Linked DNA regions of Nothobranchius furzeri. The protein of the gene in region 6 purifies or fractionates together with the protein of the main gene of each other region. This does not show direct contact. Links are inferred from orthologs where the notes say so. Each region holds a gene or a part of one and is shown on either strand. Other genes may lie near its edges. The genes, in order: scfd1, rint1, srprb, scfd2, sec22bb, stx18 and snap29.

Region 1 (3,500 bases), on a different chromosome or scaffold from region 6:
AACGGCCATGAACCGGACCATGATTGTGCAGAAAGACAGCTCTAATGAGTTTTACTTTCATTGAAGAGTTTTGTGTGAAATTTCTGAAAAGATCAGCTTCAAATTTACAACAGAAAAAGGAAATACACTCATGTGACAGATAAAAGCCTAGAAATTATACAGATAATGAAAAAAATTCACTCTAACAAAACACAAAAACAGTTTAAGACGGTTTTATTAGCGAGCAAACATAAGACATTAAGGTTCGGTGTGTAACCATGAAGTCAACATTCCTCTTATGTTTTGTGGAACCTGAACCAGAAACCAAGAAGAACCACATTCACACAGAGGACAATCTGATAAGAACAGAATGTGCTCCTCTATTTCTTTCATCTTCACCCCTCCTCTTCAGACCAAGAACAACAGGACCTCTCTGTGGTCTGTAACACCAGCTGCTGAGAAACCTACAGGTGTGTGTGTGTGTGTGTGTGTGTGTGTGTGTGTGTGTGTGTGTGTGCGCGTGCGTGTGTGTGTGTGTGTGTGTGTGTGTGCGAGAGTGCGTGTGTGTGTGTGTGTGTGTGTGTGTGTGTGTGTGCGTGTGTGTGTGTGTGTGTGTGTGTGTGTGTGTGTGTGTGTGTGTTTTTACCGAAAGACAAAATGAACTGTTGTCTACAAGGACTCTGCTCTCATGGTTCACTTTGAAGAGATGTTCAAATGATCTGATTTGTTGGTGAACGTCACTACTGAAACCCTGCTCCTGCATCTGGAGGTGAAGGTATCCTACACTAGTGACATAATGCATCTGGTAATCCTGTGCAGCTTTGGCCACATGCTGCAGAACAAGTTCCGTACCACACAGTGATGCTCTTCACCACACATCTGTAGATGGATCAGAGGACTGATCCTAGGTCCTCCCTGTCTGAGTCTCTGGGAGACATACAGCTGTTGATGTGCCCTCTCCACTAGACTGCTGCAGATCAGCTGGTTGCTGATAGGCAATCCTAAGTATCTGAAGCTGGAAACCACATCTGTTGGGAGTACCATCTAAGCAGAGTAGTGGAAGACGAGTGGGTTAACCTCCCAATCCAACCCCTTAAGGCTAAGACTCAAGCATTTTTAAAGTATTTGGTATGACCCGATCGGGATTTGAACAGATCTCCCAGTCCCAGGGCGGACACTCTACCACTAGGCCACCAGTGTTGGGAATGTTATTTTTAAAAAGTAATTAGTTATAGTTACTGATAATTTTGCCAAAAAAGTTACTCAGTTACTTACTGAGTTACAAGATTATAAAAGTTACTAATTACCAAGAAGAATAAATATTTTGTTACTTTTTTTCATTAAACAATGCAAGAAAAATGGGTTCTCCTCTTAGTTAAACTTAGACTGGAAAATAATAAAATGTATGTCCAAATGTTTTGTATAAAACTGAATAATTGAAATAAATGGGCACTTAACAGGAGGAACTACAAACTGGAACATTACACTAATCTAGACTATTAAAATGTGACTGTGTGATATTTAACCAATCAGCTAAAATTTATAATTGCAAATAGACACACCTGTAAAGGTTCCTGAGCCTTTAAATGGTCTCTCGGTCTAGTTAAATTACTGAAATAAATGTGATTCTGCACGGTTTTCTAATTTTTCCAGCTTCACATAATTGTGTGTTTTTACCAGCATTTCTGTTGCTGGTAATCTAGTAATGGTTAAATAAATAAATAAATATCCTTTAAAATGACACTAGAAGAAGCACAAGCCTGATGGGGGACTTACATTTACTAACTTGGGTCAGACCCAACCACAGAAGAGCTGAAGCTGGGTGGTAAACACACACAGGTAGTTCTAATAACACCTGAGCTCCCACTATGTCTGAGACTGATGCATCAGTGTTACAGCGGGACTAAATGATCAGAAACAGGTTACAGCTGGATGATCTAGGAAGGTAGAAGGATCAGGACGTCCCGCTGTCCCGCCAAGAAGGGCACGGCTGCAGATTCACGCTTGCAGTAGCAAATCTGCGGGTCTGCAGAATATTCATCACGTCTTCCTCATTCTCCACGGGCCGCGATGCGCTCGGATGAAAACATCCGCCTCTTTAGCTCCCAATCAGCTGAAGGCAGCTTCAACACACTGTGCTGCTGAATTAGTAACACACGCATTTTCTGATCAGTAACGAAAATGGCATTACGATAAAAGATGGTAACTAATTAGATTACTAGTTACTGAAAAAACTACCTTTTTTTTAGTAATTCCGTTATTTTAAACGGTGTTATTCCCATCACTGCAGGCCACTGAGAAGAAATAAAGCGGACCAGCTAGAATAATTATAGAATAGTTAATCTAAGGGTTATCACTTTCAGACCGGTGGTCGTGGTGATCTGCTCTGATGTAGGAGAAAATAAATCCAATAAGTAGAAACAGTGACTGAACTCACAGGATGTGACTTCATCTCCATCAGGTTGTCCAGAATCCGAGTGACTGGAAGATTCTAAAACCAAAATAAAATAAAATCAGTTTTAAAACACGCAAATGAAGAAAAGAAAAACTACGTGGAAAAATATATTTGATCACAAAACTTGATATTTTAATTCCCCCTGAAGACGGAGAACTCCCAGCAGAAAACTACATTTTTCAGAATTTGCACAAATCTGCTTCTGTTTGCAGCCAGATGCTAAAAGTGTGATTATTTATTAATAAATCAGGTGGCTTTTGAGGAACATTCTGGCATTTGCAGGATGAAGTGAACTCTGAACCAAGAGCAGGACTCAGGACGACATCCTGAAATGAACCAGTTTGAGAATGATGGTGAGCAAAGTCTCATCTTCTATCCTGATCTTCCGGGGTCAGTGGTTCAGGAACTCCAGTATCCGTGTGCTTGGCACAATTCCTGATCCTTTTACTATCTGCCCTGGCGTTTGTGGAGTAGCTGTGGTAAAAGCTGAGTCTGAGGCAGTTTGAGAACTTCCTCAGTGCTTTACTCACATGCTGCTTGAGCACCAAGTTCTTCACACCCTCCATGACAAACTGGGAGCCGGTGTTCATGACTCTGGAGAACAGGCTGTAGAGAGAAGAGGAGGGAAGAGAAACAAGACAGAAAAAATGGTTAAGATGGTAAACGAAAGCACGCTGCTTAAAAACAAACAAAAACCTGAGTCAACATTATTTTATGCTTCAGCTTTATTAAAATCAGAATCTGTATTCATCTGGAGAGAAACAAAACCAGCTAAAATCCCTGAATTATTTCTGTTCTTAGCTGCATTTCAGAGGAACATCTTCTGCTTTTCCTACTTTCATAAACTCTAACCCTCCCACTGTCTTTATGGGTGACCCCGCGAGGAAAGTTGACCATTGAGCAGGACTGATGATGGTTTATCCCTCGAGGTCCACGTGTCAGGGGACCACGTGGACCTCCTCATCTCTGCCACATGGACCTCGAGGGATAAACCATCAACCCTGCTCAATGGTCAACTTTCCTTGCGGGGTCACAACCATTAGGAGTGTGGGAGGGTTAAATTGTT
Region 2 (3,500 bases), on a different chromosome or scaffold from region 6:
GCAGCGATAAACCCAGATTCTACTTATTCCTCTCTTTGTGTTCCATCGTCATCATCACAGCACTATTAGTGTTTTTGTTTTAGCTTCTATCATCTTAACCAGGCGAAGAGGTCTGAGAGTCCTTCAGGTCCATATGCAGAAGCAGGCCAGCCACAACATAACAGTGAGTCAGCAGTTCTTTGAGATCCTTACGCAGTTATGTAGCACTCGTTTGTTTGTTTGTTCTCGTTTGTCACAACTGATTTATATTCAAAATATGATTAAAAATTACACCAATATTGTCAGAATGAAGCAGGAATGAACCAAAGGGTTTTGAACATATCACAGTGGTGTCAGACCAACAACCTGAGGATGTAAGGTGGTGGACTACGGGAAGCAGGAAGGTGGCTCCTCCCCACTGAGGATCAATGGTCTCCTCCTTCAAACACCTCTAAACTCATTAGATGACCTCACACAAACCCTTCATCCTCAACTTACAGTTAGAAAAGCCAGAGAAAGTATTTCCTTTGGCTGCTGCTTCCTGCTGCACTTTTTTATCACACTCTAACCTGAGCGTCGTGATTACCTGTGTCAGTCGAATTCTGAAGTCATCAACCAGCTCCTTCTGCAGCTCCAGGAACTTCAGCTGTGCTGCAGGGCTGGGCAAAGCCTGGTACCGCTCTGGGTTTGACACCAGACAGAAACAAGTAAACATCAGCGTTACTTATCACAATGACCTAGGAAACGTAGTAAATAGCCTAAAATGATCAAATTAGCCCAGATTGGTAGTCTAGATTTTTACCAGGATCATCATATACCTGACTCACATAAGTAAAAGTAGACCATCAAGCAGTGTTTTCAAGTCAAGTGTGCATAATAATCCATATTGTATGAAAAAGAAATCTATCACACACACACACACACACACACACACACACACACACACACACACACACACACACACACACACTTTAGGTGGTAGTGAATTATCTCCCAGCTGAAAACCAGCAGTGCAGTAGCAAACAGCTGGTTAGACTGTAGCAATGAGAGCTGTAGGAACATCAGAGTTAGGCATGGCAGCAGAAAAATAAAGTGACTCCGGCTGACATAAGTGCAGTCATTTAGCAATGAAGAGACCCTCCCAACAACCAAACCCCCCCCCCCCCCCCCCCCCCACACACACACACACACACACGTGTTCCATATGCATTTGTGAGCGAATTTAACTTTTATTCTTTTATGTTTTTTATTGAACAGCTTTGCTTTGAAAACATTAGTCCCAACTTACCTGTGATGACCTGCAGTAAAGTCATGAATGTCTCTGCACATTCTGGAGCGTTCAGTTCATCCATGTCACTGATATCTTTATACTGAGACGTCCACGCTCCCTCAGCAGACAACATGGCATCCATCTTCTCCACTGCCACTGCAAATAAAAACAGACCGGTACACATGCAGTTGGACCGTTTCATCCTCACCAATATCGATATCCGATATTATTACTGCTGTTACGCCTGATGATATTTGTCGATGTTTTGTATAAATTTCCCTACATTTCTTATTCCACGTAAAATCGACCATCGGCACGGCTTCTCAGCTTCAGTTAACCCCCCCACACACATACCTGCGTGGCATCACACGCCCAATCAAAGCCAAAAGATGCTAACACATGAGAACTCACTCTTCTTTTCCATGGAAAGCCACTTCTGAAGGACCGCATCCTCAAGCAGAATGTGAAAAAGACCCGGCAGCACTGCTGGATATGAATAATTACTCCGTAGCTCCTTCTCAAACTGCAGCACCTCCTCCACCAGGTGACAGAAGAGAACATCATCGTAAAGCATCCGAGAAGCATCACTGGCTACCTTCTCCTGGACTAAAGACATCAACCCACGACACAGCTCCACCTAGACACAGGAATAATTGGAGATAGCAGGCAGTCAGCAAACTACAAACATTCACATTTAAATATCATACCACTTATTTATAAAGCACATTTCAAACACAGCATGTCAGCTGACCAAAGTGCTGTACAAGGATAAAAACACTGAGGGTCAAACACAGCAAGAACAACAATAAAACAGTAAAACATCAGCAATAAGAGAAAGTCATATCATCAAAATAAGTCTTTAAAACCGATTTAAAATGAAAGAGGGAGGGAGTCTGCCTGATTGGGAGTGCATTCAATAAATTAGGGGCAGCAAACACCAAATCCCGCTCAACCCGCCATTTATATCTCATAGATGGTACACTGAGCAACAGATGGTCAGCTGACCTCAGAGCCCGATATGGCATGTAGGGACTGATCAAGTCAGAGAGATATCCTGGAGCAGAGCCATTCAAAATCTTAAAGACAACGGTCAGGAGCTTGAACTTGACTCGTAGGTTTACAGGTAACCAATGCAGATGTGTCAGAACGGGAGTAATGTGTGAACGCCTGTTAGTGTTCGTCAGGAACCTGGTTGCAGCGTTCTGAACCACCTGGAGTCGATTTAGAGCTGAAGCTGGAACACCAAAGAGGATAGAGTTGGCATAATCTAAACAGGAAGTAATAAAAGCATGAATGACAGATTCTAAGATTCTAATGTGCAAGATGTAGGAAATGAATAAGAATTGCATTCTGTGATCACGTTTGGTTACTGCAGCTCATTTTTCTAAACATAGAGCGACTCTCTCACCCCTGTACCGAGGATATCGAGGCTGTTTCCAGTTACGGCTCAGCACCAGAAATTCTAGATGACGAGCAAGGACGAGCCATACAGAGTAAGTTGGTAAGTATATAAATATATTCCACTGTATTATCGAGTTATTGGTAATTGAAAACATAGCTTGGGATATTTTTTGAGCAGACTATTTGCTTCCAATTCACCATTAGCAATGTTAGCTTAACGTTAGCCTATAAGCCTTCTTCACCTGATATTAGAGTAAAACAAAAATATGCTGTGGCTTCTTGGGAGTACAAGAAATAACTTCTGGGTCACTCCTGTTTACTGGCTTAGAAGGATCTTAAACAAAACACAGCAGCGCCGAATTGGTGCAGACTTGGCAGCCCAGCAAGCTCACAGACTGCCTCACAGAGAGCCACATATTGTGGCTACATCCCTTTGTCCAGTTTGAAAGGAGAAAAACTGACAACCCCCCAGCCAGCTTCAATGTAACCTTCCTTCCAACATGATTGAGACGTTTGGCTGATTTGTGATTATTTTACAGTAAGCGTTATAATCCCCTCAAGACAAATATTAAAAGATTGCAACAGAGCTCACATATTAACTCGACAACTGGCTTCGTCACCCAACAGATTCACAATGAAGGCAAAAGTTAAAGAGGAAAATGACACTTGGACTCATACAGCCAGTTTAATTACACAAATTTGAAGAACTGTTTTTAAACATTAGTGGTTATATTACATTCTGGGTCACAGGTCAGAAATCGGTTTTGTAATGGTATCATCAAATCAGCATCCACGTGTCTGTGACTACTGAGTGAGGAGGGGAGCTGAGCGGTCAGCTGATTACCACCTG
Region 3 (4,250 bases), on a different chromosome or scaffold from region 6:
GTGACAAAGATCTGTTTTAGATTTAGCTTTGTTTATACACAACACAGCATTAGCTCTGCTAAGATCAACCCTTTCAATCTCAGAATGGGTGCAAATGATTCATGACAGTTTCAGGGTGTTTTGATCACTAAAGGAGCCCTGCTTCATTTCCCTAACTGACTGTAAACAGGAAACCAGCAGCACTGGGAGCTGAAGGGGGCAGACCAGTGAGGACTCGGAGGGTACCTGATGACTTTGGCACATGGTCCCGGCCATCTGCAGCCCAACACTCTCTGCACGGAGGTTTCGGTCCCGTTGTGCACTTTACATGGAACAGTCCTGGAGACGGTGTGCTGGCACCAGTTCCTGCGATGCACAATGAAAGAGATCAAAAGCAACTGGAAGTAACCAGTGCGATAAAAAAATGCTCCACTCAACACCAACAGAGTTTGCAGAAAGTGTAAATAAAAAGTGTACCTGAGTTGGTTCCGGGATCCAGAACCTGGTGGACCCGTGGTTCGGCTCTGTTCCGACTTGATGCGCGGTCGCTGCAGGCTGATGCCTGGAAAGTGATAGATGAACCCAGTTCCGAGGGAAGCGCACACTAAACTCACCCACACGCACAGCGCGTAGAGGTAAGACAAAGCCATGCTCTCTGAATGACAGAAATATTCAAAAGAAGTCGATGTTTTTCAAGTAAATCCGTCTTTAATGACGAAAAAACTACAGTACTTTCACAAAGAGGAGTAATCTAAGCAGATCCCGCTGAATCCATCAGTGGGGGTTTGTCATTTCTTGTTCCGACGAGAAACAAGCTGCCCCCCTCAAGAGCCCGTTATGAAGGACACTCAGCCATTTCCTATAGAATAACTTCTCTCTGACGTTTGACATCCAACCGAGGAGTCAAATATCCAGTGTGCGTAAAAAACGTGCAGACTGTGAGGGCTGGAGACGTGCGTAAAAACGCATCTGGTCTCAATTGAAAACAAAAATAAAATAACAAGATTCCATGTTACAAAACTCATGCTTTTAGTCTGTTTCACATTTATACCTTGATTGTTTTCACATGAGGTCTTCTACAGAAACATCGGCAAGGTTGGGAATAAATGAGGACTAGAAAACACTTTCTGTTCGCTTTTTCAAAAGGACTCCAATAAAATCTAACCTATATGCGGTAGTTCGCCTTTAGCTACATATAATACAGTTTAAGATGATTTACAATTATTAAAAATAAAAATAATAAATAAATGCACCAAACTCAGAAATAAAGCTGAATTTTTATTTATAATCTCTTTTCACTTCCCTTCACGTGAGGCCTACAATGTCTACTTAGTTTAAGAGGGGAAAGCTATCTTTTTTACAGTATGTTCCTATTAAAATGTACGTTCCAAAAAATATAGATAGTTGAATTATTATCTCAGAGTTATCACATATTTCATACTTTTATTTGGGGAAATGGATTTGTAAAAACATGAAAAAACATGTCTCTTACTTCTTAATGTTCATAAAGTAAAACAAAATAAAATCGAAAGTGATATTCATTTTTTCCGAGAGAAAACTCTTATTATATTTATGTGATTATTATTATTGAGCAGCAGCTCTGCAGCGCCCTCTGCTGTTCACTCAAGCTCGCCACAGGCTCCAGGAAGCAGACGTGTCCAATTTCAGTTACGAACAGCAGCAGTGGAAACATGGGCGAAAAAACACACAAGGACTCACCTGAAAACCCGTTTGAGCCTTTTATTGAATCTCTCCGTCAGCAAGTTGAAGACCAAGACCCAGTAATTCTGATCGGAGTAATCGTAGCTTTAGCGGTGGTTGTCATCACCTGCGGTAAGAAGGAACCGTAAGTTAGCTTAGCATGCTAGCTTTAGCAAACTAGCCTTAGCGTGTAGGCTAGTATCATGCCGTTTCAAAGCGGGTTTCTCAGTAAAGCTGGAAAAAACGTTTTCAGTGTGTTTACAAAATGCTCAATTAACACGCAAGAACAATAAAATAATATCTCTTAGCTGCAACAGTGTAAGGAGTCATTCAACTTCGGTTTTAGCTAATAAAAATATTGAATAAATAACAATCCTTTCCACATTTCCTCTTTAGTTTTCCTGAAGTATTTTCTAACCAGTAAAACAGTCCAGAGTGCCATTCTGTTGGTCGGATTATGTGACTCTGGGAAAACCCTCCTGTTTATTAGGGTGAGTTGATGTTGGGACCACCATGGCCACGTTAGCACTGTCTTTCCTTTTCATTAAAAGTGTTTTATTTGTTTCAGCTGCTGTCAGGGAAGTTCAAGCGGACACAGACATCCATCACTGACAGTAGTGCGCCATACAGAGCTAAAAATGAAAGGGTAAGTCTTCTTTTCCTTCTGCATCAAAGCATAAAACTGTTATTATAGGTTGACAATGATTGACAGCTCTGTCCATAACTTTTAGAGCAGCTCCTGGACACTGATTGACCTGCCAGGACACGATAGTCTCCGGTTTCAGTACCTGGAGAAGTTCAAGTCTTCAGCCAGGTGAGAACAGCATAAGTGCATGGTTCAGTAATCTCTTCATTGGTGCTTTTAGCATATTTGTGCACAGTTTTGTTGCAATGCAACAACTCTTTTCCACTAAATAGGATTTAAAACCAAAAAAGAATCAAGCCTAATTATTTCCTCATGAGCCCATTCTCATCACCACTCTAAAATCTTACCCTTTCTTTCTGCAGAGCCATTGTGTTTGTTGTAGACAGTGCCATCTTCCAGAAGGAAGTGAGGGACGTGGCAGAGTTTCTGTACATGCTGTTGACGGACACCGTGATCTCCAGAAACGCCCCGACTCTTCTGGTGGCGTGCAACAAACAAGGTGAAACAACCTGTTTACTTTAAATAAACAACTTAAATCACCTCGTTGCGTCAGTCAAACTAAACCGCTCTTCTATAAACTGGAAACTCTTCTGCTGCTTTTATTTTGATAGACATCACCATGGCCAAATCAGCTAAACTGATTCAACATCAACTGGAAAAGGAGCTGTAAGTAAACCTAATTTGATCAGATTCCTGATTATTTTTAGCACAACTGTTATAATCTCTTTTAAGAGAGATTGCGAAGTCACATTTATTAAAAAATACACGAATGAGGGAGATGCTGCAATCTTTCTAGGATGTAATTCTAGACAAAATATTGTTTTTGAGTGGCTTCAGACAAAAAAATTCACAACCCTCTTTAGTCGTTGAGGATAAATAAATATCCCATTTAGTCTCATTAACAGCACTTTTTAAAAATCTCCTGGCCATTACACAAATCAAAGTCAACATCAAACTCATTCCTGAGGGTTAAAACTGCTGAATGGAATTCTGAGAATGTCATTTTTCTGACAGAAACACCTTGCGAGTGACTCGCTCGGCAGCCCTGAGTGCTCAAGACGGCTCTGTGGGCGGCAGCGTGTATCTTGGGAAAAAAGGCAAGGACTTTGAGTTCAGCCAACTGCCCATGAGGGTGGAGTTCCTGGAGTGCAGCGCCCGGAGCAGCAGCAAAGGTGAAGAGGGGGAAGCGGACATCGAGAGCCTGGAGAAGAGCCTGGCTAAGCTATAAAATCAGCAGCGAGACACAATCGGCGTACAACTTCAACAGGAGTGACGGGTCACCCTGCCCGACGTAAAGACATTTGTCCTCGTGTAAAAGTAATCAGATTTACTTAAAGCTTGTCTGAGCTGTGAAACACTGAAAATAGATGAGCACGAGCAGCATTTCAGTCTTTGTTATTCATATAAAATGTTAAGTTTGCAGAATAAGTGTTCTTGTTTGAAAGTGTTATATATGAATACAGTGAATTTAAGAACATAAGTTTATTGCGCTTAAGTTTGAATCAAACTTCTTTATTAAATAAAAAAAAAAACAGATGAGACAGGTTGATTAACATTTAAGCACAAAAAATACGTTTTCTCCTCAAGCGTTTACGTTTCAACCAAGTTGTGTATGTTTTAAGCAACGTGTCTCCCTCAAGACAGATGTGGGTTTTTTGTTAGAATAGCTGTGTTCAAATATCTTCTAGAGCAGCTTTCTTTGAGCTTTTGTTTTCTGACATCTGGTGTGGATTCAGAAGTTTTGTCACTCTATAAAAAGAGCTGCAAACTTCAGTTAAACATTAAAAACATGTTTCTCCAGTCAGATGTGGTTGTTTTAAATGTAATTAGTGTGAGACAAATGGTTTATTTTACGAGATGACATGTTTAAAATACCACACAGCGTGTTTTTATGTTAAGGACTGATGTTTCATTCACATCACAT
Region 4 (3,500 bases), on a different chromosome or scaffold from region 6:
ACCAAGTTAGTGTAAAATTCCCTTCTCTGAACTCGACAGCCCCTCACCTCATCAGAGCACCAACCTACTCCATGGTCCCTGTGTTCCACATAGGAGGTGGCCTGTATGAACTCAGACCAACAGCAGAGTGTCCAGCCAGTGCCCCCCCCCCCCCCCCCCCCCCCCCCCCAACACACACACACACACACACACAGGTGCACACACACTCAGACTGAGCAAACACACCTCAACTGCCTGGCAGGTCTAAGAGCCATTTCATCCCACCATTTTTCTGTGTAATAACTTTTTTTTCTCTCTAAGGTTGAGGCAAAGCAAATAAATAAATAAATAAAAACCTCACATTTAGCTCAAATCAACAGAGAGGACACAACTCATTTCCTTAAATTCTTCAGTAAAACTCAGAACTGTTTTGATTGCAGCTCTCGCATTAAGCCGAAGGCCCGATGGTGAGATCTGATTTTCAATGAAAGTATGTTTTGAACTCAAGCCAAAAGTTTCAAAATCAAATAAAACACTGATGCTGAGCACAACTCTTAAAACCTGACTGTGACCAGTTCCATTAAACAAAAACAAAACTGGAGGTAGTGGAGGCAAATTTAATTGATCAGGACTAAAAACGCAACAAAGTTGACATGAAGGATCCAGGTAGGACGGACACCGGAGCGAATCCAAGGAGCCGTACATTAAACAATACTGGGACAGCATAGGCTCTCAATCCACATTCCTTAGTTTAATAAACGAGTGATCCTATCGGAGCATTGGGGTTTAAAAGATTGTTTTCCAAATTCCAACTTGGCCCGAGCTACCAGCGTGTTTTATTTTTCCGTGATTTGGTTTAATAAGTTCCCAAATACTCTGCCATCCTACTGTTGGCCTTGCATCTTCAGGAACGTAAACAGGCTCAATAAAAATGCAGGGGGAGGACATGGCCTCAGGAGTAGTTTGCCACTGGTTTGGCTCAGTTCAGCTTGTGTGATTGAATACTAAATATCTGCTGATCGCTACTAAAAATATGAATATGACTCTGGTTTTTGATTTGTAAAACTTGCTCTTTGACCTTCCAGTACTCCAGCACATCCACTCCTGCCCTCCCATCTGTAAAACCAACCTCTTCCCTTCCCAGACTCTACAACTACCAAACAACATGATGGAAATCTGTTTCATTTTTTTGCTGCGCTTAGTGGAAATAAATGTTCCCCGAACAGAAAACTGACGTTTGCAGGGAAAAGTTCAAAGTAAATCTGTAAATCCAACAATCTGAACACCATGTTAGAAACCATACACCTACCAGATTAGTCTTGGTAAGAAAATATCACCTTGGAGGACACAAATTAGCTTGAATATGCAGCTTTCTCACTCTGATGTGTCAGTAATGGAGTTGTTACGGATTGCAACATAAGAATAGTGAACTTGTAGAAGATGAGTGCGCACCTGCAGCAGCAGCCTTTCAAAGGCCAGACAGGCATCCCAGCGGGCCAAGCTGGGATGTCGAAGTGTCTGGGCCGTGGCCAGGCCCAGCTGGAGGAGCCCGCAGTGACTCTCTAGTGCCTCCCAACTTCTCCGGAACAGCTTTACGTAAGAACACAGTTGCTCCGGGGTCACACGTCCTGAGAAGTGAAATCAGAGGGGAGGATTTTCACAACAGTACAAACATCCAGTTTTCTATTTGTCACATAACATACATATGTTATTGTTTTCCTCACTGTTATCATCAGGATATTTTTATTTTTGTTTCACTGGAAATATTCACACAAACATACACAGGTGTTCAGGCAATGATGGGACGAGGAAAACATCAAGAAATCAGATTAACAAAAAAAAAATTAACATTTAATCATTAAAGGCTTAGAATTGGTCACAAATCCACAGCAGGGTCATCCCAAAGACTTCTAAAAATGGGACATACTGCTCCACTGCTTGACCCTCACCTTGGGAGATTTAACCACCAAATGGAACCCAAGCGTGGCCGTGTCTGCGGCTCACCGCTCTCTCAGAGGATGAGTCAAATGCAGAGAACTAATTTCACACACCAGCATGACAATTATCGATCCATCCATTTTCGGCTGCTTATCTGGGGTCGGGTCGCGGGGTCAGTAGCCTAAACAGGGAGGCCCAGACTTCCCTCTCCCCAGCCACTTGGGCTAACTCCTCCAGGGGAATCCTAAGGCGTTCCCGGGCCAGCCGAGAGACATAGTCTCTCCAGTGTGTCCTGGGTTTTTGTTTAGGTCTCCACTCGGTTGGACGTGCCCAGAAATCCTCACCAGGGAGGCATCCTAACCAGATGCCAGAGCCACCTCAACTGGCTCCTCTCAATGCGGAGGTGCAGCGGGTCTCTCTGAGCCCCTCCCGGATGACTGAGCTTCTCACCCTATCTCTAAGGGAGAGCCCAGCTACCCTGCAGAGAAAATTATTTCAGCCGCTTGTTTCTGCAATCTCGTTTCTGTCACTACCCAAAGCTCGTGACCATAGTTGAGGGTAGGAATGTAGATCGACCGGTAAATCAAGAGCTTTGCCTTCTGGCTCAGCTCTCTCTTCATCACGACAGACCGGTGCAACAATCTCATGCTCCAACTTTCCCTCACGCGTGAACAAGACCCCGAGATATTAAAACTCCTTCGCTTGGGGCAGGACCTCATCCCTGACCCGGAGAAGGCATTCTACCCTTTTCCGAATCAAGACCATGGTCTCAGATTTAGAGGAGCTGACAACTAGTGGGACTTTAACTTTCAGCTGGTGTCAGAGAGAAATCACTGTTTGTGCTACAATAAAAATAAAAATAGATAAAATTTTAAATAAAAATGAATATAATAATAATTATAATAATAATACATTTTATTTGGAGCACCTTTCAAAAAACCCAAGGTCACTGTACAATCAGGTTAAAAATAAATAAAAACTTGAAACATTCAATGACTAGAAAATTAAAAACCCAAATAAAACATCAGATAAAACACTAACAGTTAAAGTCAATAAGCAATTTGGAACCGGCGAGTTTTGAGATTAGCCTGAAATTGGTGAAGGGTAGTCATGTTCCTAAGGTGAGCAGGTAATGAGTTCCATAGGGGGGGAGCCGATCTGCTATGCCCGGTATCCCATCGTGACAAGACGAGGTGGTGGATTATTTAAGTTGATGGAAGAAGAGGATCTGAGCATGTGAGAGGGTTTAGTGACTTGTAAGAGCTGTGAGAGATAAGAGGGGACGAGATTATGATTGGCCTTATACGTAAGGACTCAAATTTTGTAGTGGACCCTGAACTTTACTGGCAGCGAATGAAGCTGCTGAATAACGGCTGATGTGATCAGAATAGGGTGTTCTGGTGAACACATGAAATCTTAGCTCAACATCTGTAAAACTCACTGACGGTTTTGTGTTTGCTAAGGTCAGTCGTCTATGGCAGGATTCGATTTTTATTCAATTCTGTCCAGAGGTTCAGTAGATAAGTTGCTAGCAGGCAGACAGGATTGAGTCCAATGATAAAGGGCATCAATGATCTTGATCA
Region 5 (2,161 bases), on a different chromosome or scaffold from region 6:
CTCTCCTTCTCCCTTGCTGACCGTTTCTCTGTTATGTTCATTGCAACAGTCGGAAAGGTTTTTCTGCACTTCCAGACACTGAATTGGAAAAACCTCTCAGGTGTTACGGTACGGAGCAGCTTGAGTAACAAATACTACAACAGTGAAGCTTGCTCATCTTGTTGATCAAGTTCGTGTTATGAAAGTCACCGAGGGGCTACCATGAGGTGTCATGTAGGCTACCAAAGTGCAATCTCTGAGCTTTTCTGCACTTTTGTTATTTTCTGATGTCCTGAACAGCTCATGGATTACGGTAATACGGAGGAGGCATGTGAAATGCTGTCAGCAGCGACAGCCTGGTTGCTCAGAATCGTGTTCATATAGATATCAGGAAACTCGATTCCTGGTCAGATATTTGGATATAAAAGCTAAATCGTGATGAAATTATATTGTTTAAATCTCATTCCCACACAGGGTGGTGTGCCACAGAAGCATGGATGAATGCACGTAGTATCATGGCTTCCTTTCTGAATTAGTTCAGAATATCAGTCAGTAACAATCCATCAGTCCATCCGTTATCTGTACCCACTTATCCACGCTGGGGGCTCCAACAGTCTCTAGGCAAACAGGCGGGGTGCACCCTGGACTGGTTGCCAGTCTATTGCAGGGCAACACAGACACACAGGACAAACAACCATGCACACACACACACACTCACACCTAAGTATAATTTAGAGAGACCAATCAACCTGACAGTCATGCTTGTGGACTGTGGGAGGGAGCCGGAGTACCCGGAGAGGACCCACGCACGCAAACTCCATGCAGAAAGACCCCAGGGCGGGATGCGAACCCAGGACCTCGCATCAAACCTTCAGCTTTAAAACAGATGTCCCAAATGCTGCATCTTCTCCGGAAACAGTAGTAGCTGCAGAGCTGATGAAGCTTTACTGAAATTCCACAAAAAAAAAAATCCTCAATTGTGCAGATAAATGAGCCTAAAACTGTAAACTGTGAAGTGTTTGAAGCAAACAACTCATGGCTTCATTGTTACTTTTCTGTTTTTCTGTTGCGTTTTTTTTTCTCTTTTAGACACCTACATTCAAAAAACCAAGAAGTCGTACATCGACAGCCGAGCACGGAGGAATCTGGGTAGCATCAACACGGAGCTGCAGGACGTCCAGAGGATCATGGTGGCAAACATAGAGGAGGTTCTGCAGAGAGGAGAGGCTCTCTCTGGTCAGTCTTGGTCATTTGAGGCTGAAGCTTCAATCTAAAAGAGGAAAAACCTCATCTGGATCATCTTGTTTTCTTCTCCTTGCAGCGCTCGACTCCAAGGCCAGCAATCTGTCCAGCTTGTCAAAGAAGTACAGGAGTGATGCCAAATACCTGAACACCCGCTCCACCTACGCCAAGCTGGCAGCAGGTGGCGTCTTTTTCATCATGCTCATCGTCTACGTGCGCTTCTGGTGGCTCTGAGAGAGGAAGAGGGAGGAGGTAGTGAAGTGGAAACGAGCTGCAGGCCGTCTGCGAGTGCTGAGAAAAAGCAGCACTTTCGACCCAAAAGGATCCCTGCTCTTAATGAGACTTTACACACACGCACACACACACACACGCGCACACACACACACACACACACAAGCACTCATTTTGTCCTTAATTGTCCGTATGTGGGTCTGAATAGCAACGGTGTCATGAAACAATGTTTTCTAATTAACAGTCATTCTCTATCTATGGCCCTCGGATTGTAGAGGAAATTAGTGTGTGTGTGTGTGTGAGAGTGTGTGGGTTGCCTGTTTTTGAATGTGATTTCTGTGCAAAGGTAGAGAAAAAATTTATTTCCCGTTTTGTTCATTAACCTTCTGTATGTCTAAGGATACAGATAAAGGACACAAACCACATCATTATTTTCCTTTTTGCTCCTAATCTCATAAACGTGCATAACGCGTCCGATTCATCACTAAATGATCTCCGCTGTAATTTAGGCACAAACATTTGAGGCAGATTTCATTTAAAGTAGTGTTTGAACGGTTCACAAATACAACTATCTGTTTTATTTACCTTTATTGTGATGAGACAGGATGTGACATCAGACGTTATGCAGTGACTCAGAAGGGGCGAGCAACCGAAGGTGGTTCATCTCAACCCGTTCCCAGCTTTTACCCACAAGATAAAAATAAGTTTC
Region 6 (3,944 bases):
TTTCAATTTCTACATAAACCTTTTTCTGAGATGATATCTGCAGCAGAGGAGACAGCAGGAGGAGAAGGGGCGAAGCATGAGGCAGGAACCACAGGAGTTTGGGTTTCCTTGGAATCAGCAGCAGTGCTTTTATTAAACCGCCATTTCCAATATCAATGGAACAGAACATAACAAAAACCTGGTTGAGCAGAAGTAAGAGCCACTAGGCTCAAGTTTGCTTCAGGCTGATGGTTGGAGCCATCGGGCACCACTTAGAGCCCTCTTACCCCATGGGGAACATAAAGTGCTTCTTCAAGTTGCCTTTGAAGACGTCTCTGTTCATGATATACAGGCACATTCTTTCCAGATCCGATGCTTCAGCACAATTTAGGAAAGAAAAAGGACAACAAATTGAAGTTTATTTAAATTAATACTAATAACTTTATTTCTGTATTTACATAATTTTCTTAATTTATCTACCAAAAACCATCACATGTTCAGGAAGTACATTGATAACAAACATGTTTATATTACGATTAAATTCTATAATTGTCGCTAGTACATCCTCAATTTGTGGCTGAATTAAATGATGCACATTCCTGTGACAGGGCAGATGGCTGGTAGCCTGGCCTGCCAGATTCATCCTCTGTTTAACTCTACACAGAGAACTACTCTGGTTACTCACAGGCAGAGAGGCACATGAGGGGGGCAGGTTTTCAAACTTTATAAAATTAGAAAATTTTAATAGCAACACCCAAAAGTGTTGCTCAGCTTGAAGTTACACATCTCTATCTTCTGGTGTAAAGCAAAAACTTCATAACGGATTATATTTGCAGCTGTGGCTTCTAAAATGCAGCAATAATGCGACTTTGGTGCTTAAAGGGTTAATTCTACCAGTATTCTCAGCAGGCCTTTCAGTTATAAGCCTGTACATTTACAATTTATTATTTTTATTTATTAATAATTTATTATTATTTATGAGTGGGTTCAAGTGAAACGTTTTATTTTGAGTTTTATTTTATATGGTGCTTTGTTATTATGTTGGTGCTAATTTTTTTTTATATTTTTTAAATAATTGATTTATTGCAATGCCTTGATTTTAGTGAGGTTTGCACACATTGAAGCAATAAATTCAAAGCAATAAAATAAAATAAAATAAAATAATATATATATATATATATATATTTCACTTGACTCCGGGGTCTACTGTCAAGCTCCAGTCTAAAAGCTGATGATAGTTTGATGCTTTGCAAAGTCATTATTGAAAAGAAAAAAGTGTAAAGACATCTCATTGGTAATGCAATTCAAGTTTTTGGCTCTTGTGTATTCAAAGCAATTAATAGTTTCAATGTGTTTGTTTCAGCTTTGGCACTGTCTTATGAAAATTAATTCTTATCAGTGTAGGAGATGTGTTTCCCACATAAATAGCTGATGAAGGACTATATTATTTTCATGATGTAAAACACTGCAGACAGAGTCATGGACCATTTTCTTACTTATTTTGTGTAATAAATTACATATTTTATTACATAAAATAGGCCCCCTCTTGTGTAGCGGAGATAAAATGGATACATTTTAATTTCATATGTGAGGCATTTTTATTTTTCTTCTCACACTGAACACCTATGTGTAAAACTTAATTTTTAAAAATGGAGATATTTTTGATGTAGTGATTTACATCAAATTGTTAAGTATCTTAATATTGTACTGATTTTTCTGTTGAACTTGTCAATATCTAGTACACACACACACACACACACACACACACACACACACACACGATTTTATTTGTTGAAGTTATTAATTTCCTATAAAATGAATCATTTTAGGAGAAAATATGGTTAAGTCAGAAAACATGGAATATAGAAAATAAACAGAGAATAGAAGCGTTTTGAAAAAAGTAAAATAGATTGGGTCCTACGGATCAGAGCACATCCTAGATTGTGAATTACATCTAAGGACTGAGGAAGATGCTGGTTTTTTTACACTCATCAAACCTACAGATGACTGATTAGAAAGGTTGATAAAAGTTACTCAATTTAGAAAAAATCTATATTAGGTTTAAGAGTACCTTTGATTGAAGTTGGTTTTAAAAAGCAAGTTAATTGAATATGGCAAGTTAAACACTCTGATTTGAAGATGATCACGAGTAAAATGTATCTCAGAGTCACTAAATCATATTAAATATTCATGCTATCTTGTTTAATTACTGTTCTTGAGATTTGTATTACAGCTATAACTTATTTAGGCCACTTCTTTTTTTTAAATTTTCACTTTAAAATGTAACATATTTTATTGAATTGGCCAAAATGCAAAACAAACTTGAACGAATACCTATATTATGTGCATTTTAAAACGTTTCAACTGGCTTTATTCAGGATAAATATGAATGTAGCATTAGCTGCCAACTGTACAGATACCTATTATAAAAGTTTCCGGGTGAAAAGTTTACCCTCTGCTTTAAATAAGAGGCGCTTGCTGCCTCTCAGAGTCTAGTAAAAGAATTCTAGTCGTTAGTAAATTTTGTTTTAAGAAGCCATACAACGATTATCAGGATCATATGGAGGCTGTCAGAGCTAGTTTCGCTAGCTGCGGTAAAACACTCACCACTTCTTTAGCTCGCGGTGAGAAGCCGCCCTTCGGTTTGCTTTTCTTAAAAATCTCATCTTTTGTAGACTCAAAGCCCACTCCTATAGCCTTGTTCCTGGTTTTGACTGTCTTCACGCTCGCTTTGAAAAGTAAAGTTATATCCACTGCCATGCTTCTCTGTGTGCAGCTGCACCACGACACGGTAAACAAACTGACACGTCACCGAACATGATGTCATTCTCCTGCGACGCTACAGGTTTTCCCTGAGCTGGAGAAGAGAGCTTTAGAATTTAGGTTTGGACTGTTTCAGCAAATGAAAAAGATTTTGCTTCTTTATAATAATCACATACGGTGAGCCTTCCACCTTATATTGTTTAATTGATGTTTGTTTTTTAAGGGAATAGTTTTTATAATTGAGAAAAACCCTTAAAATTAACAATTTAAGGTTAAAAAGTATTAAGAGAAAGTCTTTTTAAATCATGGTCATTTTGAATATTATCCTGTATATTTTAAATGTTATACTGTTTCTCTATTTATCAATTTCATTACATATAATAAATGTTTCAATACCAGGCTTTTGCAGAATTTAATAATGCATTTTTATAGCATGCTGTTGAAAAAAAGTGTATGGGGAGGAAAATTATCAGAAGGTGTGCCTGGTGAATGAGGGTCAGGAAAAGCTGATAGAATTAACTTGTTTTTGTGTGTTTCCTCGAGGAATAACCCTGCAGTCTGTTAAAGGGATGTCTAACGAGACCTGAACAGGACTGTCTTCTTCTTGCGCCGCTAATGCAGAATTCATATTGAACTCTGAGCCCATTACTATATTTTTACAAGAACTAATATGACATTTTTTCTCAAAAGAAGGATTTTCTGCTGAACAATTCGTGACTCCAACAGTTGTTTCCGTTATGAACCTGTCAGCAGGACTCTTTAGTCTCTGAACTGATGGAAATTCAACAACACGGGTGACAGAATTTAATATGGATATCCTGAACTTACTAATAAAACTGTGGAAGAGGATTAGGGCAACTGAAAAGAAAGAGAAATCTGACTTTTTTCTCAGATTTATGACTTTTTCCCCCTCAGAATTGTCAAAGTTGGAAATGTGAGAATAAAAAACTTTAAATTCTAAGACAAAAGCTAGAATAGTCTTTTTTTCATTTTTTTCTTTTCAGTGGCCTTAACCCTCTTCCGTATTAATCAGAATGTGATCGGTTTAATCAATTTCCCTCTGGGATTAATAAAGTATGTTTGAATTGAATTGGATAGATAGTGAGAAATTACTGCAATATAATTGCAGTATTATTGTAAAAAATGTAATACATTTTATACATGTTAATATTTACAGTTGTGATTAAAATAAAAATGATCAC
Region 7 (4,005 bases), on a different chromosome or scaffold from region 6:
ACAGAAATGAATTATTTTTACCCAAATTTTTATCAAGGGTGTGGTGAGCCTCCTTGAGGTAGCTGTTCTGTGGGTATCCATTCTGTCCGGATGAGCCAGAATCCAAGGATGAAGCTGCTCCAAAACCTGGAACACAGGAAGGAGAAATGATGACGGCTGGTTCATGGGATGATTAAAACATACCCAGGTTCATGTGCCAACGCCCACCTCCTGTCTCCAGTTTTCTTAGATTGGGGTGGCTCGCTTGGTATTTATCTTCATGTTCTCTGCTGCTGGACATGGCCTTCTGTAATCTGAGACAAAAAGTACAATTCAAAACAAGAAATGAACTGAAATTTCCAGATAATGATCATGTTCTGGATTCTATGATAAATAACGTTTGGGGCTACTTTCATTAAACACATGAAGCACCTTAGTACATGTGCTAGAGGTGAGGGAGGAGCTACACCTCACCTGTAGTAACCTCTGAAAATCCTCCAGCAGTGCTTGGTTTGTAAATTCAGGGATACTTTAGAAATAAAACAGTAACTTTAGGTCAACTACTGATACTATGAGGTGTTGGTGGCACAGGAGCTCAGTGCTCGCCCCGTAATTAGAAGGTTGCAGCTTCGAGCCCCGCTCAGTTTGTCGCTGTCGTTGTGTCCTTGGGCAAGACACTTTACCCCCCTTGCCTGCTGATGGTGGTCAAATGGACCGGTGGTGCCAGTGCTCGCTCGCCAGACTTGCCTCTGTCAGTGCGCCCCAGGGCAGCTGTGGCTACATCGTAGCTCATCCCCACCAGGGTGTGACTGGGTGAATGACTGTGATGTAAAGCGCCTTGGGGGGTTATAGGACTCTAGGTGGCGCTATATCAAATACAGGCCATTTACCATTATACATTTCTAACATTTTGTAGCGTTGTAGCTTAGAAGGTCTAGTAAATGAATCAGTTGTATTAGTATGAAGTCAGATTTCAACTTTTAATCCTAATAATTATGATTCTTTAAATGCTGTAATATTTTATAACTTCTATTCCATTAAGCTTTAGAACTTGATTTGCATTCAACTTTAAAATAAAAGTTATTGAATATTTGTAAAAATGACAATAGCAAAAGCAGTAAAAAGTCTAAAGTGTTGGACCTGCAACAAATAAGAAAATGGTATTGATATGACAGCAGCACAGGAGTGACTGAAACGTACCGTTCATTGGTCTCGTAGGCTTTTGGCTCTTCAGGGGTTGGCTTTGCATCTGGCTTACCCTTGAAGTAATTGACAAGACCTCCCCACACACTCTTGATAGAGTTAATATGCTTTTGGCTGGTTTTCAGGTCCTGATCCATACCCTCCAACATCTTGTCAGCCCTCTTCAGAGCTTCACCTTGTCGCACCAACTCCTAAACACATATACACATAAAAATAAATGAGCAACCGAGGAAGGATATTTATGGATGCGGTGAAAGAGGATGTGAAGTTAATGTGAGGGTAGAGAATGCAGATAGGAAAGGACTGAATGACGACAGACAATTCACCATAGGGACCATTGAAGGCAAAAGCCAAAAGAGAAAGAAGAACATTAAAATAAATGAGCAAAAAATGGATGAAGAATGCATGGATAGATGGATGGACTTATACCTCTGCAGTTTCCACACCCATCTTCTCAGATTCATAAATGAGACCAAGGGAACGATGGCTGCTATCCACAGCAGACTGTGCTGTGCGCATTACTTCCTGTCGGAGATACCTCTGCCTCCTCTCAGCGTCAGACAGCCCGCTGTCATCAGCTTCACCATCAAAATCCCTATTTTTAGGCTTAAATCCTTCCTCCTCCTCGTCATCAGCAAATGGATTGTGAGATTTTGGGTAGGCCATCTGAAAGTTAAACGCACAGTGTTGACAAAATAATATTATCTAAAGTCTTAAATATATGTCAACAGGATTAAGTGTGCTCATCTGCTGTATAAAAACCACTAAGCAAAGCTTTTGACATTAAGAAAGTGAAATAATATCATGTTGTGAGAAACTGAAATAAGTCATAAAAGAAGTGATTAAAATCCAAATAAGTCCTCATAAGTTACTTTTCTAAAAATACACGTGAGAACACCTGCCAAGATAGATAATAATATAAAAAAAGTAGCTTGTAACGTATTACAGTCCCTACAACATAACGACAACTTACCATTAGCATCAACAGATAAGTTGACACATTAATCTGAAAAAAGTTTAGCTGTATTTTGAAAAGAACTCTTTTCTACTTTCAACAAGTTTCAGTCTTCACAGAAGAAAACATGTTTTAAATGATGGGTGGCTCCAAGCAGTTCACTGCTGTATGGCACCGGTATTATACAACCTAAAGACAATAATATTTGTTGTTCTGTGTTGTTATTTAATAGGTGTTGGCTAGCATGTTCGAGAAGATACTGCTAGCAGAACTAGCCGACCCACACGTCAAACAGCCACACCCGAGAGACAAAGCCGCGGTGTAGTTTGACTGTAAACACCTTTTCAGCTATGAAATAGCATGTGCCAAACGACACCCTAAAAATGATAATTAAAACGACACTCACCTTCTGACTGTCGATAACTCAGTGCTACAGATGAGCACTGTGTCACGTTGGATGACGTAGTGGTGTGCCGTGCGCAACAAAAAGTATAAAAGTACTCCTCGTGTATAAAATAATATAAATAAAAATTTAAAATATAAAAAATTCGGATGGGATATGTTTAACTTAGCTTACTTGGTTAAATAAAAAAAAGTAAATAGCTTCAATATATTGAATGGCGCAACATGGAATTGTCCGTGTTGGGCTTCCGTCCGTACTGCGGTATCCTAACGCTAGTTGCCGCTGCTCTGCCGTTTCCTCTTATTGTTGAATCATAACGCTGGCTTGATGGAATCGTAAACATGTCTTTAATGGGAGGCAGTACGAGAGGGTTTTATTTCAACACAGTTCTATCGCTGGCCCGCTCACTTGCTGCTCATCGTCCTGCCCCCGTCGACAAGGTGAGGAAAAATCCAGAGTAATTTTCTCTTGACAAAAATTAGCATAAAATTAGCTTAGGTCGGAACAGTAATGACCACTGGTGTTTAGGGTGTTGCTCCGCTTCCGCACGCCCAGGCGGTGCCTTATTTTGATTACAGACAAGATTAACGTTTGACAGTTCCGTTTATGTTTGCATTTAGAAGTCACCAGTACGGGAATTAATGTTTCCCTCTCCCGTATCAGAAGATAAACGGGCTGTTGCTGCGCTTGTGTGGTTCCTGCTACTGCATCACTCAGGCGGAGTAGCCAGCCTCGCTGCGGTCAAACAGGTTTACAGATGAGGGGGGAAAGTGCTCAGCTGGTTGTGGATACTAACCTGTTCAAACTACAGGGTGGAGAATGAAGAAGATTTACTTCACCACTTAAGAGAAGCTCGCACGAGAGTCGATTTGATTGATTTTGTTGAACCAACTATCCACGCACTCCATTATCTATTGTGTATTTAGAGTTTTAGCTAGAATATCAAACAGGTAATAAAACATGGAAAATTCATGTGTATTAATAACGGGTTGAATACAGTACAAATGTTTTTTTTTTTTACAAAAATCAGAAATAATTTCAGTTACATTGTTGTAAAATTTCAGTTATAAGACAGGTAAATATTGGATCATGCAGGTGTCGTAAAACAAGAAACACTGCAACATTTGAGACTGATACTATAAAGAAATAGCAGAACCCTTGTGACATATTATTGACTTTTAGATATAAAGTTTATTTGGAAAAGCCACAAACCTTTAATGTCATCTTTAGGTTTTAACTTAGTGATGCATTTTATGGCATAATTACCACAAACTTCCGCAAAACCCCAGTGTTTATTTGCTCCCAGATCTCGTAAAACGTTTAAATACTATATAATAACTTTAAATACTGGTATTTTAATAATGCAATGTGCAAGTTCAGTTAGTGAAGGAAAGTGTAATTAGATTGAAAAATTTCATTGTTTTGAAATGACCAGATTACCTTTTTTCCTTCTCTTTCGTGGTCG

Evidence for each region.
Region 1: the proteins of stx18 (region 6) and scfd1 purify together in Homo sapiens (affinity purification with mass spectrometry; 5 studies listed by BioGRID and IntAct, counting the BioPlex papers as one, with this or other methods). This does not show direct contact. The link is inferred for Nothobranchius furzeri from reciprocal best matches to the Homo sapiens genes STX18 and SCFD1.
Region 2: the proteins of stx18 (region 6) and rint1 purify together in Homo sapiens (co-immunoprecipitation; 6 studies listed by BioGRID and IntAct, counting the BioPlex papers as one, with this or other methods). This does not show direct contact. The link is inferred for Nothobranchius furzeri from reciprocal best matches to the Homo sapiens genes STX18 and RINT1.
Region 3: the proteins of stx18 (region 6) and srprb purify together in Homo sapiens (affinity purification with mass spectrometry; 3 studies listed by BioGRID and IntAct, counting the BioPlex papers as one, with this or other methods). This does not show direct contact. The link is inferred for Nothobranchius furzeri from reciprocal best matches to the Homo sapiens genes STX18 and SRPRB.
Region 4: the proteins of stx18 (region 6) and scfd2 purify together in Homo sapiens (co-immunoprecipitation; 3 studies listed by BioGRID and IntAct, counting the BioPlex papers as one, with this or other methods). This does not show direct contact. The link is inferred for Nothobranchius furzeri from reciprocal best matches to the Homo sapiens genes STX18 and SCFD2.
Region 5: the proteins of stx18 (region 6) and sec22bb purify together in Homo sapiens (affinity purification with mass spectrometry; 5 studies listed by BioGRID and IntAct, counting the BioPlex papers as one, with this or other methods). This does not show direct contact. The link is inferred for Nothobranchius furzeri from reciprocal best matches to the Homo sapiens genes STX18 and SEC22B.
Region 7: the proteins of stx18 (region 6) and snap29 purify together in Homo sapiens (affinity purification with mass spectrometry; 3 studies listed by BioGRID and IntAct, counting the BioPlex papers as one, with this or other methods). This does not show direct contact. The link is inferred for Nothobranchius furzeri from reciprocal best matches to the Homo sapiens genes STX18 and SNAP29.

What each region holds. Positions count from the first base shown.
Region 1 is NC_091758.1:18,052,494-18,055,993, forward strand, and holds part of scfd1 (sec1 family domain-containing protein 1), read right to left. Parts: intron 3,041-3,500; coding exon 2,965-3,040; intron 2,471-2,964; coding exon 2,417-2,470; intron 1-2,416. UniProt on the Homo sapiens protein: Plays a role in SNARE-pin assembly and Golgi-to-ER retrograde transport via its interaction with COG4. Involved in vesicular transport between the endoplasmic reticulum and the Golgi.
Region 2 is NC_091741.1:64,267,313-64,270,812, forward strand, and holds part of rint1 (RAD50-interacting protein 1), read right to left. Parts: intron 1,887-3,500; coding exon 1,661-1,886; intron 1,406-1,660; coding exon 1,268-1,405; intron 661-1,267; coding exon 566-660; intron 1-565. UniProt on the Homo sapiens protein: Involved in regulation of membrane traffic between the Golgi and the endoplasmic reticulum (ER); the function is proposed to depend on its association in the NRZ complex which is believed to play a role in SNARE assembly at the ER.
Region 3 is NC_091753.1:42,154,364-42,158,613, reverse strand, and holds srprb (signal recognition particle receptor subunit beta), read left to right. Parts: upstream 1-1,450; 5' UTR 1,451-1,670; coding exon 1,671-1,812; intron 1,813-2,076; coding exon 2,077-2,171; intron 2,172-2,248; coding exon 2,249-2,326; intron 2,327-2,411; coding exon 2,412-2,494; intron 2,495-2,688; coding exon 2,689-2,825; intron 2,826-2,937; coding exon 2,938-2,992; intron 2,993-3,340; coding exon 3,341-3,554; 3' UTR 3,555-4,130; downstream 4,131-4,250. Other genes in the region: col26a1 (collagen alpha-1(XXVI) chain), read right to left, coding at 226-345, 457-629. UniProt on the Homo sapiens protein: Component of the signal recognition particle (SRP) complex receptor (SR). Ensures, in conjunction with the SRP complex, the correct targeting of the nascent secretory proteins to the endoplasmic reticulum membrane system.
Region 4 is NC_091748.1:39,881,051-39,884,550, forward strand, and holds part of scfd2 (sec1 family domain-containing protein 2), read right to left. Parts: intron 1,608-3,500; coding exon 1,432-1,607; intron 1-1,431. UniProt on the Homo sapiens protein: May be involved in protein transport.
Region 5 is NC_091748.1:52,853,415-52,855,575, reverse strand, and holds the end of sec22bb (vesicle-trafficking protein SEC22b-B), read left to right. Parts: intron 1-1,068; coding exon 1,069-1,215; intron 1,216-1,300; coding exon 1,301-1,455; 3' UTR 1,456-1,661; downstream 1,662-2,161. UniProt on the Homo sapiens protein: SNARE involved in targeting and fusion of ER-derived transport vesicles with the Golgi complex as well as Golgi-derived retrograde transport vesicles with the ER.
Region 6 is NC_091743.1:54,501,813-54,505,756, reverse strand, and holds the start of stx18 (syntaxin-18), read right to left. Parts: upstream 2,801-3,944; 5' UTR 2,740-2,800; coding exon 2,587-2,739; intron 355-2,586; coding exon of another isoform or gene 267-354; intron 1-266. UniProt on the Homo sapiens protein: Syntaxin that may be involved in targeting and fusion of Golgi-derived retrograde transport vesicles with the ER.
Region 7 is NC_091757.1:55,819,076-55,823,080, forward strand, and holds the start of snap29 (synaptosomal-associated protein 29), read right to left. Parts: upstream 2,801-4,005; 5' UTR 2,544-2,800; intron 1,849-2,543; coding exon 1,612-1,848; intron 1,374-1,611; coding exon 1,180-1,373; intron 294-1,179; coding exon 208-293; intron 127-207; coding exon 22-126; intron 1-21. Other genes in the region: pi4kab (phosphatidylinositol 4-kinase, catalytic, alpha b), read left to right, coding at 2,882-2,980. UniProt on the Homo sapiens protein: SNAREs, soluble N-ethylmaleimide-sensitive factor-attachment protein receptors, are essential proteins for fusion of cellular membranes.